Anolis sagrei: one gene and its partner. The protein of the gene in region 1 purifies or fractionates together with the protein of each later gene. This does not show direct contact. Links are inferred from orthologs where the notes say so. Each region holds a gene or a part of one and is shown in the gene's direction. Other genes may lie near its edges.

Region 1 (7,162 bases):
ACTCCACCTGAAGAAACTACAAAAATTATCTTCTTTTTCACTTTTTTTTAACTATGGAAGAAAATTGTTATAATATTATACTTGAAGTTTGATTGTGTGTGTTGATCCCTCCAGGCTGAAGCCCTTGTGGGCTGAAAAAAAATCAGTATTTCTATCTTCCAGTAAAGGCTGACCAGTTAAAAAATCTTTACTCCAACATGCTGAGTTCATGACAGAGGTTGCATGGTGTAATTCAAAACAATGTGTATGAAGCATGAAACATATACAGGCAGTCACTGAGTTACAAACATCTGACTTACAAGCAACTCCTAGTTAAGAATGGGGGTGAGACAACAGGAAGTGAGAGAAATCTACCACTAGGAATGGAAGCTCACTCCTAGAAGAGTTATTATGGGGAAATGGTCTCTCCACTGAAGCTGTAGCACCAATCTTCATTTTCGCAACAAGCCAAATTGGTCAAAATCCAATTATCACAAGGACAGAAAGTGAGGTGAAATCTTCACAGTGAGCAAAACAAATACCACAGGATGTTAACCCTTCCCTATGATACCCAAAGCTATATACTGGAGTTACACTGAAAAAAGGTACCTGTTCCAATTTACAAGCAAATTCAATTTAAGAACAAACCTACAGAAATTGTCTTGTTTGCAACTTGGGGACTACCTGTACTGTGATCGTGAATGTATTTTCTGTCTGATATTTTCAAGCAGTATATATTTGCAATTAGTAAATAACTTATTTTCATCTGAGAATTATACCCAGTTTGGGATTGTGGCAGTTCGTTTTGTATTCTGCAGCTATTGTTGCATTTTATTGGCGTTCATTGGGGCGGGGGGGGGGTGATGTTTATGTTGGTTGTTGCTGCTTTGTTTTGCTACCTTTGAACTTTTTGTATATTGCGTGTTTGCACCTTTGAGTTCTTTGTGAGCCACCCCGAGTCATTCCGGGAGATGGTGGCGGGGTATAAATAACGTTGTTATCATCATCATCATCATCATCATTACATGGCCGGAATCACTGTGTTGTTGTGAGTTTTCCAGGCTTTATGGCCATGTTCCAAAAGCATTCTCTCCTGACGTTTCGCCCACATCTATGGCAAGCATCTTCCTAGGTTGTGAGGCCTGCTGGAAACTAGGCAAGTGAGGTTTATATATCATTTATTATATCTGTCAAGCAGAGTTCAACAGGCATGACTTCTTCCAGGAAAATAGGTAGTGAGGATAACAACCTTCAGGTCCATTGAATGAATGCAGTTTGACACCACTTTAACCGCCATGACTTATGGAGCCATGGGAGTTGTGGCTTGGTGAGGCACCGGTACTTGTGGGCAGAGAAGGTTAAAGACCTTGCAAAATGCAGCTCCCTTGGTGCCATAGTGGTTTGAGTTGTGTGAAACTGCATTAATTCTTCAGTCTACATCAAGTATGGACAAATCCAGGCCTGGAGTCCTTCCTTCCCTCTTTCCTTCCTTCCCTCTTTTCTTCCTCCCACCTTCCTTCCCTTCCACCCTTTTGTCCTTCCTTCCTTCCTTCCCTCTTTCCTCCCTCCCTCCTTCCTTCCCTCTCCTTCCTTCCCTTTTGTCCTTCCTTCTCTTTTTCCTCATTCTCTTCCCTCTTTCTTCCTCCCTCCATTCTCTTCCAGCCTTTTGTCCTTCCTTCCCTCTTTGCTCTTTCCTTCCTTCCATCCTTCTCTTCCTCCCTCCTTCCCTTCCACCCTCCTTTCTTTCCTTCCCTTTTGTCCTTCTGGATGGCCATCTGTTGGGGGTGTTTGAATGCAATTTTCCTGCTTCTTGGTAGCGGGTTGGACTGGATGATTCTATTATTCTTTCCTTCCTTCTTCCCTCTCCTGCTTTCTCTCCCTCTTTCTCCTTCCATCCTTCTCTTCCTCCATTCCTTCCTTTTTTCCTTCCATCCTTTCCTTCCACCCTTTCATCCTTCCTTCCCTTTTGTCCTTCTTTTGTCTCTCCCTCTTCCTCCTTCCATTCTTCCCTTCTTCCCTTTCCTCCTTCCTTCCATTTCTCTTTCCTTCTTCCCTTCCTTCCATCACTGCGCAGCCAGTCTTCTTAAGCAGGGAGTGCTAGCATGTGCCCCCCAAGTTAGAAGGTTTGCCCACGCCTGGTCTAGATGGACCCCTAGTCTCTCCCTCTGCGGAGCCTTGCCCGTGGCTCTGAGTCTGCGGAGGGGCCAAGGCACCTGCTGCCAGGGAAGGGCCCCGGGCGAGGGGGGCTTTGCTCTGCCTCTGCCCGCCCCTCTGCCGCCTTCTTTGGCCCCGAGCGGCACACCTGCCCTTCCCCTGAAGCCTCGCCTTCCGGAGTTCTGCCTCCTCGAAGCTCTGCGGGCAAAACAGCGGCAAGGCTTTAGGCAGGCGATTTTTCCAGACCCGTCTTGCTCACGCGACTCTCCACTAGCGCTATCGTAACACTCCAGCTGCCATGGCAACATCGAACGGCATGCAGGGGTTGAGAGAGAGAGAGAGAGAGAGAGAGAGAGAGAGAGAGAGAGAGAGCGCAACACACAAAAGGCTCTTCTTGTCAGGTCTCCCTTCCAGGGCGCGCTTCCCGCCAAAGCGCCCTTCCCCTTCTGCTCGGCCCGACTTCGCCCCCAAGGCCTTGCCCGGGAGGGGCTCATGAGGGGGAGGGGGAGGGGGAGGAGGAGGAAGTGGGGTGGAGGAAGGAAGGAAGGAAAAGGAGGGAGGGAAGGAAGGAGGGAAGACGGAAAGGAGGGAGGAAACAGGAAAGGGGGAGAAGGAAAGGAAGGAAGAAAGGAAGGAGGGGAAGAAGGAAAGGAAGAAATATAGGAAGGAAGGAAGGAAAATGAGGGAGAGAGGAAGCAGGAAAGGAAGGAAGGAAGAAGAGAAGGAAAGGAAGAAATGAATATAGGAAGAAAGGAAAAGATGGGAGGAAGGAAACAGGAAAGGAAGGAAGGAGGGAGAGAAGGAAAGGAAGAAATGAATATAGGAATGAAGGAAAGGGAGGGAGGAAACGGGAAAGGAAGGAAGAAGGAAAATGAGGGACTGAGGAAGAAGGGAAGGAAGAAAGAAAGAAAAGAGGCAAGGAAGGGAGGGGGAAACAGGAAAAGCGGAGAAGGAAAGGAAAGAAGAAATTAAGGAAAGGAAGGAAGAAGGGGAAGAAAGAAATGATGGAATATAGGAAAGAAGTGTGAGTAGAAGCAGGAAAGGAAGGAAGGAGGAACCAGGAAAGGGGGGAAATGGAAGAAAAGAGGGAATGAAGGAAAGGAATTAAGGAATATAAAAAGGTCAGAAAGGAAGGGAGGGAGCAATCAGGAAAGAAAGGAGGGAGGGAGGGAGGAAAGAAAGAAAGAAAGGAAAGAAGAAATGAGGGGAAGGAAAGGAATGAAGGCATAGAGGAAAGAAGGAAAGAAAGGGGAAGGAAGGAAGGAGGGGAAAAGGAAAGGAAGGAATATATAGGAAAGAAGGCATATAGGAAGGAGGGAGGAAACAGGAAAGAAGGAAGGCATATAGGAAGGAAGGAGGGAGGAAACAGGAAAGAAGGAAGGAAAGGGGGAAAAGGGAAGAAAGGGAAAAGGAAAGGAAGGAATATAGGAAGAAAAGAAAAGGAGGTAGGAAACAGGAAAGGAAGGAAGGAGGGAAGGAGGAAAGAGGGGAAGAAGGAAAGTAAGGAAGGGATATAGGAAGGGAGGAAAAGGAGGGAGGAAGCAGGAAGGGGGGGGGGGAGAAGGTAAGGAAAGGAATGAAAGAAGGAAGAGAGCAAAGGGGGTGTGTTGTGGTGACTGGGGGAAGCGGAGTGCGCATGCTCGCCGGAGCGGCGTGACGTGAGCGGGGTGGCTGAGCAGGGGAGGATCAAAGGGAGACGAACCCGAGGGACAGGCGAGGCGAGGCGGCCGAGCGGGAGGAGGAGGAGGAGGAGGAGGAGAGTAGCAGCAGGAGCAGGAGCCGTGCGGAGCGCCTCTTCCCGGGCGGCGGCGGCGGGCGAAGTTTCCCGGAGGAGAGCGGCTCCCCTTCCCCGCCCGTGGTCCCTCCCTGCTCCTCCGCTTCCTTGCTACTCTTGGGGGCGCACATGGGGAGGCGAGCGGGGCGCCCGCTGGACTGAGTGGCGGGGCGCGAAGCGAGGCGAGGCGGCGGACTCCTCGGAGGCAGCTCGGGGTGCAGGCGAGAGCGAGCGAGGGAGGGAGGGAGGGAGGGCGATGCTGCTGCTGCTGCTGCTGCTGCTCTCGCCTCCTCCTCGGCCGGCTCCTCCGCTCCTCCGGGGGCTGCCATGAGGCAGGAGGAGCCCTGCGTGGAAGCCAGCCCGGGAGACCCCGAGCGGAGCCAGTGGCGGCGGCGAGGAGGAGAAGGAGACGGAGACCGGGGAGACGGAGAAGGAGCTGCCCGCCGCCGCCGCCGCCCCGCCGCCATGGACTGCAGCCGCCTCAGGGCACTCATCCACAGATACGTAAGCCGCCCCTTTCTTTCCGCTTTCCTTTCACCCCAACGCGGCTTCGTCCCGCCACATCCCGGCCGGGTGGAAGGGGAGGAGGGAGGGAGGGAGGGAGGGCAGGCCCAGAGGCTGCGCCTGATCCACAGTTGACATCCCCGAGGAGCGGAGCGCAGCCTGCCCTCCCGCTCTCGCCTTCCTTGGGCGCCCCAGGAACAGTCCCGTGGGAGAGGGAGAGAGAGAGAGAGAGAGAGAGAGATCCCGTGGGACTGCAGGCGGGGATGCCTTGGGATGCTTTCCTCTGAGGCTGAGAGAGAGTGCCTCGCGCATGGCTCCACCAGGATGCCAACCCTAAAATCCTAGAGTTGGGAGAGACCTCGTGGGGCCATCCAGTCCAACTCCATCCTGCCAAGAAACGGGAGCGCACAACCTCTGAGGATGCCTGCCATAGATGCAGGCGAAACGTCAGGAGAGAATGTTTCTAGAACATAGCCATACAGCCACAAAACCTACAACAACCCAGCAAGAAAACCCCATTTAAACCACCCCCAACTCTCCCTTTTTGTGTCTTCCTCCAACACTCAGAGCCCTACACGACCCGAACTTAGTAAAGGTAAAGGTTTCCCTTGATATTAAGTTTAGTCGTGTTGGATTCTGGGGGATGGTGCTCATCTCCATTTCTAAGCCAAAGATCCGGCGTTTTCTGTAGACGCCTCCAAGGTCATGCAGCCGGCATGACTGCATGGAGCGCCGAAGTGGTCTCCATGCATGTTTTCAAAATTATTTATTTATTTTGTATCAAAAGCATCCCATAAGTTAGTATAAAACCGATAAAAATAGAAGGAGCACAGGTGGCTAAATATCTTTTGACCAAAAACGGGCAACAGCAGTGGCATTGTCTGTAGCCTCCAAGAATTCTTCCTCTGTACATGAGGCAGGGCATAGTGGACAAGCATACAGATGTGGAGTTGTCTGGTCTGCTCCGCAGTTGCATAAGGTGTGAGATTCTTTTAGGTCTTGCCATTTTGCCAGGTTGTCTTTTGATCTGCCCACTCCACTTCTGAGTCTGTTCAGGGACTTCCAAATTGCCCATTCTTGGTTTGCCCCTGGAGGAAGACTCTCGTGGGGGGCCATCCAGTTGGAATTTCCTGGTTCAGCTGTCCAGAGGGATACTCTTGCTGTTGCTGGGTTTCCAAACTGATAGGTTGGCAGAAGCTGGTGCTAACAGCGGGATCTCACCCCACTCCCTGGATTTGAACTGCCAACCTTTCACTCAGCAAGTTCGACAGCTCAGAGGTTTAACCCGCTGTGCCATTGGGGGCTCCTACCCGAACATATGCCCATATCATTACCTCGAAGGCTCCAGATCCTTTCTGATCTTGGGAGTTAAGCAGGGTCAGCCTGGGTTGGTGCTGGGATGCGAGGCACTATTTCAGAGGAAAGAACAGCCAAAGTCACCGCTGTTTTCCTTCCTTAAGGCATATAACTAAGTGTTAACAGTGGGTTGCTGTGAAGTTTCCAGGCTGTATGGCCATGTTCCAGAAGCATTTCCTTCGGACGTTTCGTCTGCATCTATGGCAGGCATCCTCAGAGGTTGTGAGGTATATTTTAACAGTATTCGTTTAGGACTTTAGGCATATGAGCGACAAGGTCCTTCATTACTCCAGGCCGGTCATCAATGCTTAAGGCAATCCTCTGGAATGTATAGGATTGCCATAAGTCCACAGGCAATTCGAAGGCACAATGCCTTTGTAGGTTTACTTTCACCTAGATAGTTTCATGTCAGATTTTATTTTCAGTCCTTCCTTTTTAAAAAAAACCATCTCTTGCTCCTGTCAGCAGCGCTTCCTCTTGCGGTCCCTTCTGTACTTTTTGCAGAAGGATGAAAAACATTTGAAGCAAATTGCACAGGCATGGCTGAGGGTGTGAAATAAACAGTTCATCTCAGAATATGACTGAACTTGCTGGAGTTTGTGGATGGAAAAATAATAGGCTAGCCAGGCATGGGCAAATTTTGGGCCCTCCAAGTGTTTTGGACCTCAACTCCCACCATTCCTAACAGCTTCAGGCCCTTTCTTTTTCCCCCTCAGCCACTTAAGCAGCTGAGGGGGAAAAGGAAGAGGCCCGAGGCTGTTAGGAATGGTGAGAGTTGAGGTCCAAAACACCCGGAGGGCCCAAATTTGCCCATGCTTGCCTAGCAGCACTCGGAATTACACTTCATGTGTTGTTGCTGATGGTTTCTCCTGGTTGTTATTGTGTGCCTTCAAGTCATTTCTGGCTTAACATGATCCTTCTCAGGGTGTTTTGGGGGAACTAAAGAGTGTGACCCGCCCCGTGGTTTTCCATGGGCAAGCAGGGAATCAAGCCAGAGTCAAAGTAAACCACTACATCGTCCTGATTCAGTGGTTTCTTCAATCCCTGTAAATTGTGAATTAAGGAAACCATCTCAGTAGTTGTGGAAAATGTGCAGCAATACTAGGTGCACATCCTAGATTCAGGCTAGGTGGATAGCTTTCAAAGGCCATCGTTTTATCCTAAAAGCAGGTGCATGTCCCAGTGAAGCATAATTCTGAGAGAAAATATTTTTGAGTGACTACTTAAGGTAATGGATGCAGTTGTTGTTGTTTGCCTTAGATGAACCTGCCATGGAGTTTTCTTGGCAAGATCTATTCCGAGTGGGTTTGCCATTGCCTTCATAATGGAAGCTAGTCCAATTTAAAGATATTACGATGTGGGTTTAAGCCTCCCTCCCTAGACACACATAGCGGC
Region 2 (7,557 bases), on another chromosome or scaffold:
CCAGTGGGGGCTCCATACTGTAACATATTCATTTTAAAAATTAAAATCAGAATTTACATGGCAATCAGCTGGTGACAATGGAGAAGGGGAGAGTCCACTCATAGAGTGTTGAGAGCATGGAGTTAACTAGACAGCAGAAGAGCACAGAAAAGCACAATTATTACTTTCATAGGTAAGTCAGTATTTTTGTATAATTTAAAAAAAAATTCAGGCGCAAGAAAATTAACATCTAGTGAGAGCATATTCTTGTATTTTCTCACCAAATACATGCAATGAAATTGGACACTTAAAAGTTTCCCTGAATTCTCAATTCAATTTGTTCTTCTATTTTTCTCTTTCATGGATGCCATGTTCTTTGGAAGCTTGTTTAGAGCAAGTTAATGGCCTTTCAGGCTTCCTCCAAGGTCACAGGGGTTCGCTTTTTACATAATAAGAATTATGTGTCACCGGGGGGGGGGGGGGGGTGGTGATCAGGATTTTAGAGATGCTTAGGTGTAACATGGTAAAAAAAGGGGTTGGGAACCACTGGTCTAGACACTCTCTACTGGTGTTTTGCTTGCAGCTATGGCTGGCATCCTCAGAGCATATTTATTTATTTATTTAGGCTCGGAGAGGTTTACAATATACACATGTGATACATTACATATAAAATCAAGAAGAACTTCGATCAGCAAAATTCAAATGCCGCCCTAAAGAAATATTTGCCTGTATATGGCCTCCAGCTACAACAGCTACACGGCCATAGCATGTACTCGAGCTGAGAGTACTTCAACGGCCTAGCTGCCCGACCATAGCAACACCTATTGAATGACTCCTTGTGTCTTAATTGTATTACATCAAAACTAGAATGAAGTCCAAAGAAAATAGTGCACACATCTGAAACAATTATATCTTGTAAGCCTCTCTGAGTCCTGAGTCCCCTTCGGGGTGAGAAGGGTGGCATATAAATGTAGTAAATAAATAAATAAATAAGCAGCAGGACATGATACCCAAGCAAGAGCTGTCTACAACTATAGTAGCTACTGATGGGTGATCTCTCAGCTACCCCTCCTACCAGTCACTACATGGCTGTGAGGCAGCATAGGAAAAACTGACCAATTTTCAGAGATTCTTACACTGAGGAGAAACATACTTAAAGTCTTGTCAAAAGTATTGTTGAAGGCTTTCATGGCCGGAATCACTGGGGTGTTGTAGGTTTTTTCGGGCTTTGTGGCCATGGTCTAGAGGCATTCTCTCCTGACATTTCGCCTGCATCTATGGCAAGCATCCTCAGAGGTAGTGAGGTCTGTTGGAACTAGAAAAAATGGGTTTATATACATACTTAAAGTCCTTTTCTCCTTTATGGGAACCACAAACTTAAAGAAATACATTTCTAGTTGGTAGCTGCCACAGGATATTAGGCACGGATTGCAGTCACAAGCCATAGCAACGCATGCTCCTTTTTTTTGGATGTCTTTCCCTTGCATTTTCTGACCTGCATGATAAAGACAGGATCTTCAGCTTTTGGAGTTGTTTGTCCCATCTCAGCCCACGGGCAACAGCCACAGTGGATGATATTCCTTCTTATAGATTTGTGCTTCGAGGCTGATGAGCCCTGAGGGGCATGCAAGTACCGCTTTGGAAAGGGTGCACATGCGGGCCTCTTTCCACTGCCAAGAGAAGCATTTTGCCCTCAAGGGCTTGCATAATGTCACAGTGAATCGAATACCTGCCTAATTATGGTTCAGAGAAACCAGCATCTTCCCATCCAACAGAAATGATCAAAGGCTTGGAAACCAAGCCCTATGAGCAACGGCTGAGGGAGTTGGGTATGTTTAGCTTGAAGAAAAGCAAGGCTGAGAGGGGACATGATAGCCATGTCTAAATATTGAGGAAGGACAGTCTTGTTTTCTGATGCTCTGGAGATCAGGACACAGAGCAGTGGATTCAAATTGCAGAAAAAGTGACTCCACTTAAACATTAGGAAGAACTTCCTGTTGGTAAGAGCTGTTTGGCAGTAGAATATGCTGCCTTGGAGCTTGGTGGAGTCTTTCTCAGGAGGTTGTTAAGCAGAGCCTGGGTGGTCATCTGTTGGGAATGATTGTGTATTCCTGCGTGGTTGAATGAAGTTGGATGGGTGGCCCATGTGCTGTCTTGCAACTCTGTAGTTCTATGAACCTGTGAACCACAAGGTGGTTTCCACTTATAATGGCTACATTATGACACATGCAAAATAGTTGCGACTAGCATTGCACCAATCTTTGAAAGAAGATTGAAGGCTTTGAAAGGGTGCTTACATATTTAAACAGATTTTTAATTATTTTAATTGTTTTAAATCTTTATGGTACTATTCCATCTATTGATTCTTAATACTCTTACGTTTAATTCTATTTTAATGTTTACCATTATGTCTTTTCGGTTTTAGATTGTACATTTTAATGATATTTTTTATCATTGTTAATCTCTTTTAAGAGAGAAAAAGTGGGATATAAATGATAAATAAATGACAACAATCAAGATAAATAATAATAAAGACAAGCAACAATAATATAAACAAAAATACCTAAAATATAAAAATACAGATTATTTAAGAAGGGGTTTAATATTTTAATAATTAATAATTAACAATAATAACCATTGATGTTATTGTTTTTAGATATTTTAACTCTCTGGTATTTAATGCAGACGTTTACCAATTGTTATGTTATTTTAAGGCATTGAATAGTTGCCAATATGTGAGGCTGCTCTGAGTCCCCCTCGGGGTTGAGAAGGGCAGGGTACAAATCTATATAAATAAAAATGTAATGTTCGTTTTTGGTATTCACAGAACTCAAAAACCACTGGACGAATTGACACCAAATTTGGACGCAAGACATCTAACAACCCAATGTATGTCCTTCACTCAAAAAAAATTGATTTTGTCATTTGGGAGTTGTAGTTGCTGGGATTTATAGTTCATCCACAATCAAAGAGCACTCTGAACTCCACCAACGATGGAGTTGAACCAAACATGGCACACAAGACTCCCATGACCAACAGAAAACACTAGAAGGGTTTGGTGGGTATTGACCTTGAGTATTGGAGATGTAGTTCACCTACATCCAGAGAGCACTGTGGACTCAAACAGTGATGGATCTGGACCAAACTTGGCACGAATATTCCATATGCCCAAATATGAACACAGATGGAGTTTGGGGGAAATAGACCTTGACATTCGGGAGTTGTAGTTACTGGGATTTATATTTCACCTACAATCAAAGAGCATTCTGAACCCTACCAACGACAGATTTGGGGGAAACTTCCCACATAAGAACCCCCATGTCCAACAGAAAATACTTAAGTCCATCCAGTCCAACTCCCTTCACCAGGGCAAGAAAAAGTAATCAAAGCCCTCCTGACAAAGAGCCATCCAGCCATAGATATTGATAGATATGATTCACACACACAGAGATATAGTATCATAGATTTGAAAGGGACCCCTAAAGATTGACAATTATATGTTGCATGTTCCAGAGTAGGCAAACCAGACCCTCTCCACATCAACAATGACAAAGAAACAGCAAGAAATACTGATTACCCACAATGAGAACACTTTCGCATTACTTTATTTTCCAGATCACCAGACTGGGCCACAGTAACGTGTGGCTGGGGATGGCTAGTATGATAAATAAATAAATACATAAATAAATATATTTTAGGGCTGGGCTAAGATTTAAGGTCTAAGGCAACAGAGCGGTTTAACCCACTGCGTATATTTTAAGTTGTGATGTTTTTGATGGTGAGCCACTTTGAGTCTCTGTATGGAGAGATAAAGCAGGATATACATAAATAAAAAACCCTAATAATAATAATAATAATAATAATAATAATAATATCTTTATTGTATCCCGCTTTTCTTCCACCAAGGGACCCAAAGCGGCTTCCAACATCTTAAAACAGTACAAATCCAAGAAAAACGCATATAACGCCTAAATACCAAACCATAAAACAGCGCAGAAATAAGATTTTAAAACAATAATCCAGTGGTTCTCAACCTTGGGTCCCCAGATGTTTTTGGCCTACAACTCTCAGAAATCCCAGCCAGTTTACCAGCTGTTAGGATTTCTGGGAATTGTAGGCCAAAAACATCTGGGGACCCCAGGTTGAGAACCACTGCAATAATCAATAAATCTTAGCCGTGTTCAATTAAAATACGAATTCATCTCCAATTTTTTTCATATGAGGAGCGACTTGAGAAACTGTAAGTCGCTTCTGGTGTGAGAGAATTGTCCGTCTGCAAGGACGTTACCCGGATGTTTTGATGTTTGTGGGAGGCTTCTCTCGGGTCTCGCCTCCTTCCCAGTGCGCATGCGCGCAAGTGGCCCCGAGCGAATCCTCCTCCGAACGCCGCAGGGCGGGGTGAGCGAGGAGGAGTGGAACGTATCCTAGCGGCGAGCTAAGTAATAAAAGGAGACGACGCAGGGTCCTGGCAGCGTACTGCGCCTGCGCACGGCGTCGAGGGCTATGTGGGAGGTGTTGAGGAGCCCGGAAGGAGGGGAGGGCTGCTGCTGTTGCTGCTGTTTGGGCGTTGTTGGCGCAGGCGCAGTCGCGGCCCTTATACAGCGCGGCGCGCGCGGCGGGTGGCCAGTGTCAGTTGTCGCCGTTGCTGGCGGCGCTTCCTGTTCCGCCTCTCGCGCGGCCCTCCTCCCCCTCCCCCGCCTCCATGGCTATGAACTACAACGCGAAGGAGGAGGCGGCGGCGGCGGCAGCGGACGGGCACCCGTCGGGGATGGCTTCCATGCCCGGGGGGAGCGGCGGCGGCGGCGGGGGCTTGGGCGGCGCGGCCCGGTCCTCGGTGGGCGCCGCCAAGAGCCGCAAGCCGGACAACACGGCCTTCAAGCAGCAGCGCCTCCCGGCCTGGCAGCCCATCCTCACGGCCGGCACCGTCCTGCCCGCCTTCTTCGTCATCGGCCTCATCTTCATCCCCATCGGCATCGGCATCTTCGTCACCTCCAACAACATCCGCGAGTATGAGGTAAACAGCTCCCTGCCCGCGTCGCCCCTTGCTCGGCTCTGACGTTTGGTCCGCCACCTTGTTTGGACTTCAACTCCCAGAAGCCCCGGCTGGCTTGGCCAACGGCCAGGGACTCTGGGAGATAATAATAAGAATAATGAACCTTATTTCTACCCCGCCACCATCTCCCCAAGAGACTTGGAGCGGCTTACATGAGGCCAAGCCCAACAACACATCAATAAACCAAAAGCAATAAATACAATACAATTAATATAAATCACATATAATAATAATAATAATATTTATTTATTTATTTGATCAGCCATATGACCATTTCAAAATAGAACACGAGTAAAAAACAAGACAAATAAATACTAAATCACATATAAACAATAACACATAAGGATTTAAATACCTGTGGCCAGGTCAAATGTAAGAGTTAAAAAATTAAAAAAATAAGCGCTGGGCATGAACGAGGTAGGATATATCTGGTATAGGGTTTTAAAAGAGATGAGGGAGCGCAGTCAATCCTAAAGTGCACCCTGAGGACATATTTCTGGGAATTTTCCTTATTCTGGGAAGGCACACTGGAACAGCCACGTTTTCAGGCTCCTCCTAAAGACTGCCAATGTTAGGGCATGCCTGATGTCCTTGGGAAGTGAGTTCCAGATTCGGAGGGCCACCACCGAGAAGGCCCTCTCCCTTGTCCTCACCAATCGCGCCTGCGAAGGAGGCAGGGGTGCGAACAGGGCCTCTCCAGATGATCAAAGAGATTGTGTGGGTTCATACAAAGAAATGCGATGAAGTCCAACAGCTCTGGAAGGCCAAGGGTAAGAAAACCCTACATCATCGCTACTGTTAGCCACCTTCTCAGCCTCAGGTCCTTTCTTTTTTCTTCTGAGCTACTTAAGCCAAATTCCCAACCAGAGCACCATTCCACTTTCACTTATTGCACTCATAAATTATCTGAACACTTGGTCCCATATCCAAGTTTTCAGTTTTCCCCTTAAAAGAAAAGAGAGTTTTTCCCCTAAAGGAGAGAGGGGGCTAATATGATGTTACTAGGAAGGGAGTTACACAACCAAGGGGCTACCACTGAGAAGGCCCTGTCTCTCATGCCCAACAACTGCACCTACGGGGGAGGAGGGACCGAGAGCAGGACCTCCCCAGAGGATCTTAAGCTCTGAGATGGTTCATAGAGAGAGATATGTACATCAGAGCCCCTCCCCCAGCAACAATATAATATTATATAATAATATTATGAATGATGTATTAGTACTATACTAATAATATAGTATGTTGTATGTACATATGACTTGTAAGCCACTCTGAGTCCCCTTCGGGGTGAGAAGGGTGGCATATAAATGTCGTAAATAAATAAATAGGTAAGCTGGACCAAAACCATTTAGGGCTTTATAGGCTAAAGCAGTAGTTCTCAACCAATAGGTCCCAAGGTGTTTTGGCCTACAACTCCCAGAAATCCAAGCCAATTTACCAGCTGTTGGGATTTCTGGGAGTTGAAGGCCACAACATCTGGGGACCCATAGGTTGAGAACCACTGGTCTAAGGCCTCACTAAACTACAAAGCCCAGAATTCTGCAAAAGGCAGCAACAAAATTTCAAGTAGGGTGCACACGCTCTACCTCCCCAAACTAAGGTCCACGGCTGGATGTGACCCTCCAAGGTAATTTACTCAGCTCCCAGCCTTAGCATGACCCTAAATCTGAAACAACTGGAAGGCACTCAACAACAATGATCTTAATTAACTTGACTATCTCATCAGCTAGAAGCAGGCCCACACTTTCCATTGAAATACTGCCAATATGTGTTTGGGCTTGGCCCCATGTAAGCCGCCCTGGGTCCCTTCGGGGGGATGGAGGCGGGGTATAAAAATAAAGTTTTTCTTCGTTTTAAATATTTTATTGTCCTTTTTTTACACTACAAATAAAATAGTTCAGTGTGTATAGGAATTATTTCATGTTTTCTTCAAGTTTGAGGATCTCTGCTCAATACCTACTCATTAAAGTGTATCTCAGTAATGATGAGAAGATGAAAAATATACCCTTGAGTGCACCTATACTGACACCACTTGGACAGCCATAGCTCTATTCTATGGGATACTGGGAGTTGTAGTTTGGAGAAACAACAGGATTATTTGCCAGGGAAGGCCAAAGATCTTTGAAAGTACATCTTCCATAGCATTGAGGTGTGGCAGTGAAAGTGGTGTCAAACTGTGTCAATTCAATAGTGTAAGTGCACCTAGATTGTTGCTACTCTCCTCCACCATCTCTCTCCCCCTCCCCCCCCCCTTTCCAGGACTAAAAGCAACAAGTGAACAAGGACAAAGGGTGCCTCTACACTATAAAATGAATGCAGTTTGACACCACTTGAACTCAATGCTGTAATGTTCTGGGATTTGTAGATTAGTAAAGCGGCAGCAGCATATGGCCGAAGAGACTAAAGACCTTGTAAAACTACAGCTCTCATTCTATATAATTGTACCATGACAGTTAAAGTGCTGCCTTAGTCCAATCCTATGGAATTTAGGGATTTGTGGTTTTTCGACACTCTTTCGGCAAGGAGGC

What was found. Proteins that work in one complex are often made in the same cells at the same time.
Region 2: the proteins of ATP11A (region 1) and TMEM30A purify together in Homo sapiens (co-immunoprecipitation; 4 studies listed by BioGRID and IntAct, with this or other methods). This does not show direct contact. The link is inferred for Anolis sagrei from reciprocal best matches to the Homo sapiens genes ATP11A and TMEM30A.

The regions. Positions count from the first base shown.
Region 1 is NC_090023.1:108,981,902-108,989,063, reverse strand, and holds the start of ATP11A (phospholipid-transporting ATPase IH), read left to right. Parts: upstream 1-4,154; 5' UTR 4,155-4,234; coding exon 4,235-4,411; intron 4,412-7,162. UniProt on the Homo sapiens protein: Catalytic component of a P4-ATPase flippase complex which catalyzes the hydrolysis of ATP coupled to the transport of aminophospholipids, phosphatidylserines (PS) and phosphatidylethanolamines (PE), from the outer to the inner leaflet of the plasma membrane.
Region 2 is NC_090021.1:110,955,840-110,963,396, forward strand, and holds the start of TMEM30A (cell cycle control protein 50A), read left to right. Parts: upstream 1-4,527; 5' UTR 4,528-4,681; coding exon 4,682-4,993; intron 4,994-7,557. UniProt on the Homo sapiens protein: Accessory component of a P4-ATPase flippase complex which catalyzes the hydrolysis of ATP coupled to the transport of aminophospholipids from the outer to the inner leaflet of various membranes and ensures the maintenance of asymmetric distribution of phospholipids.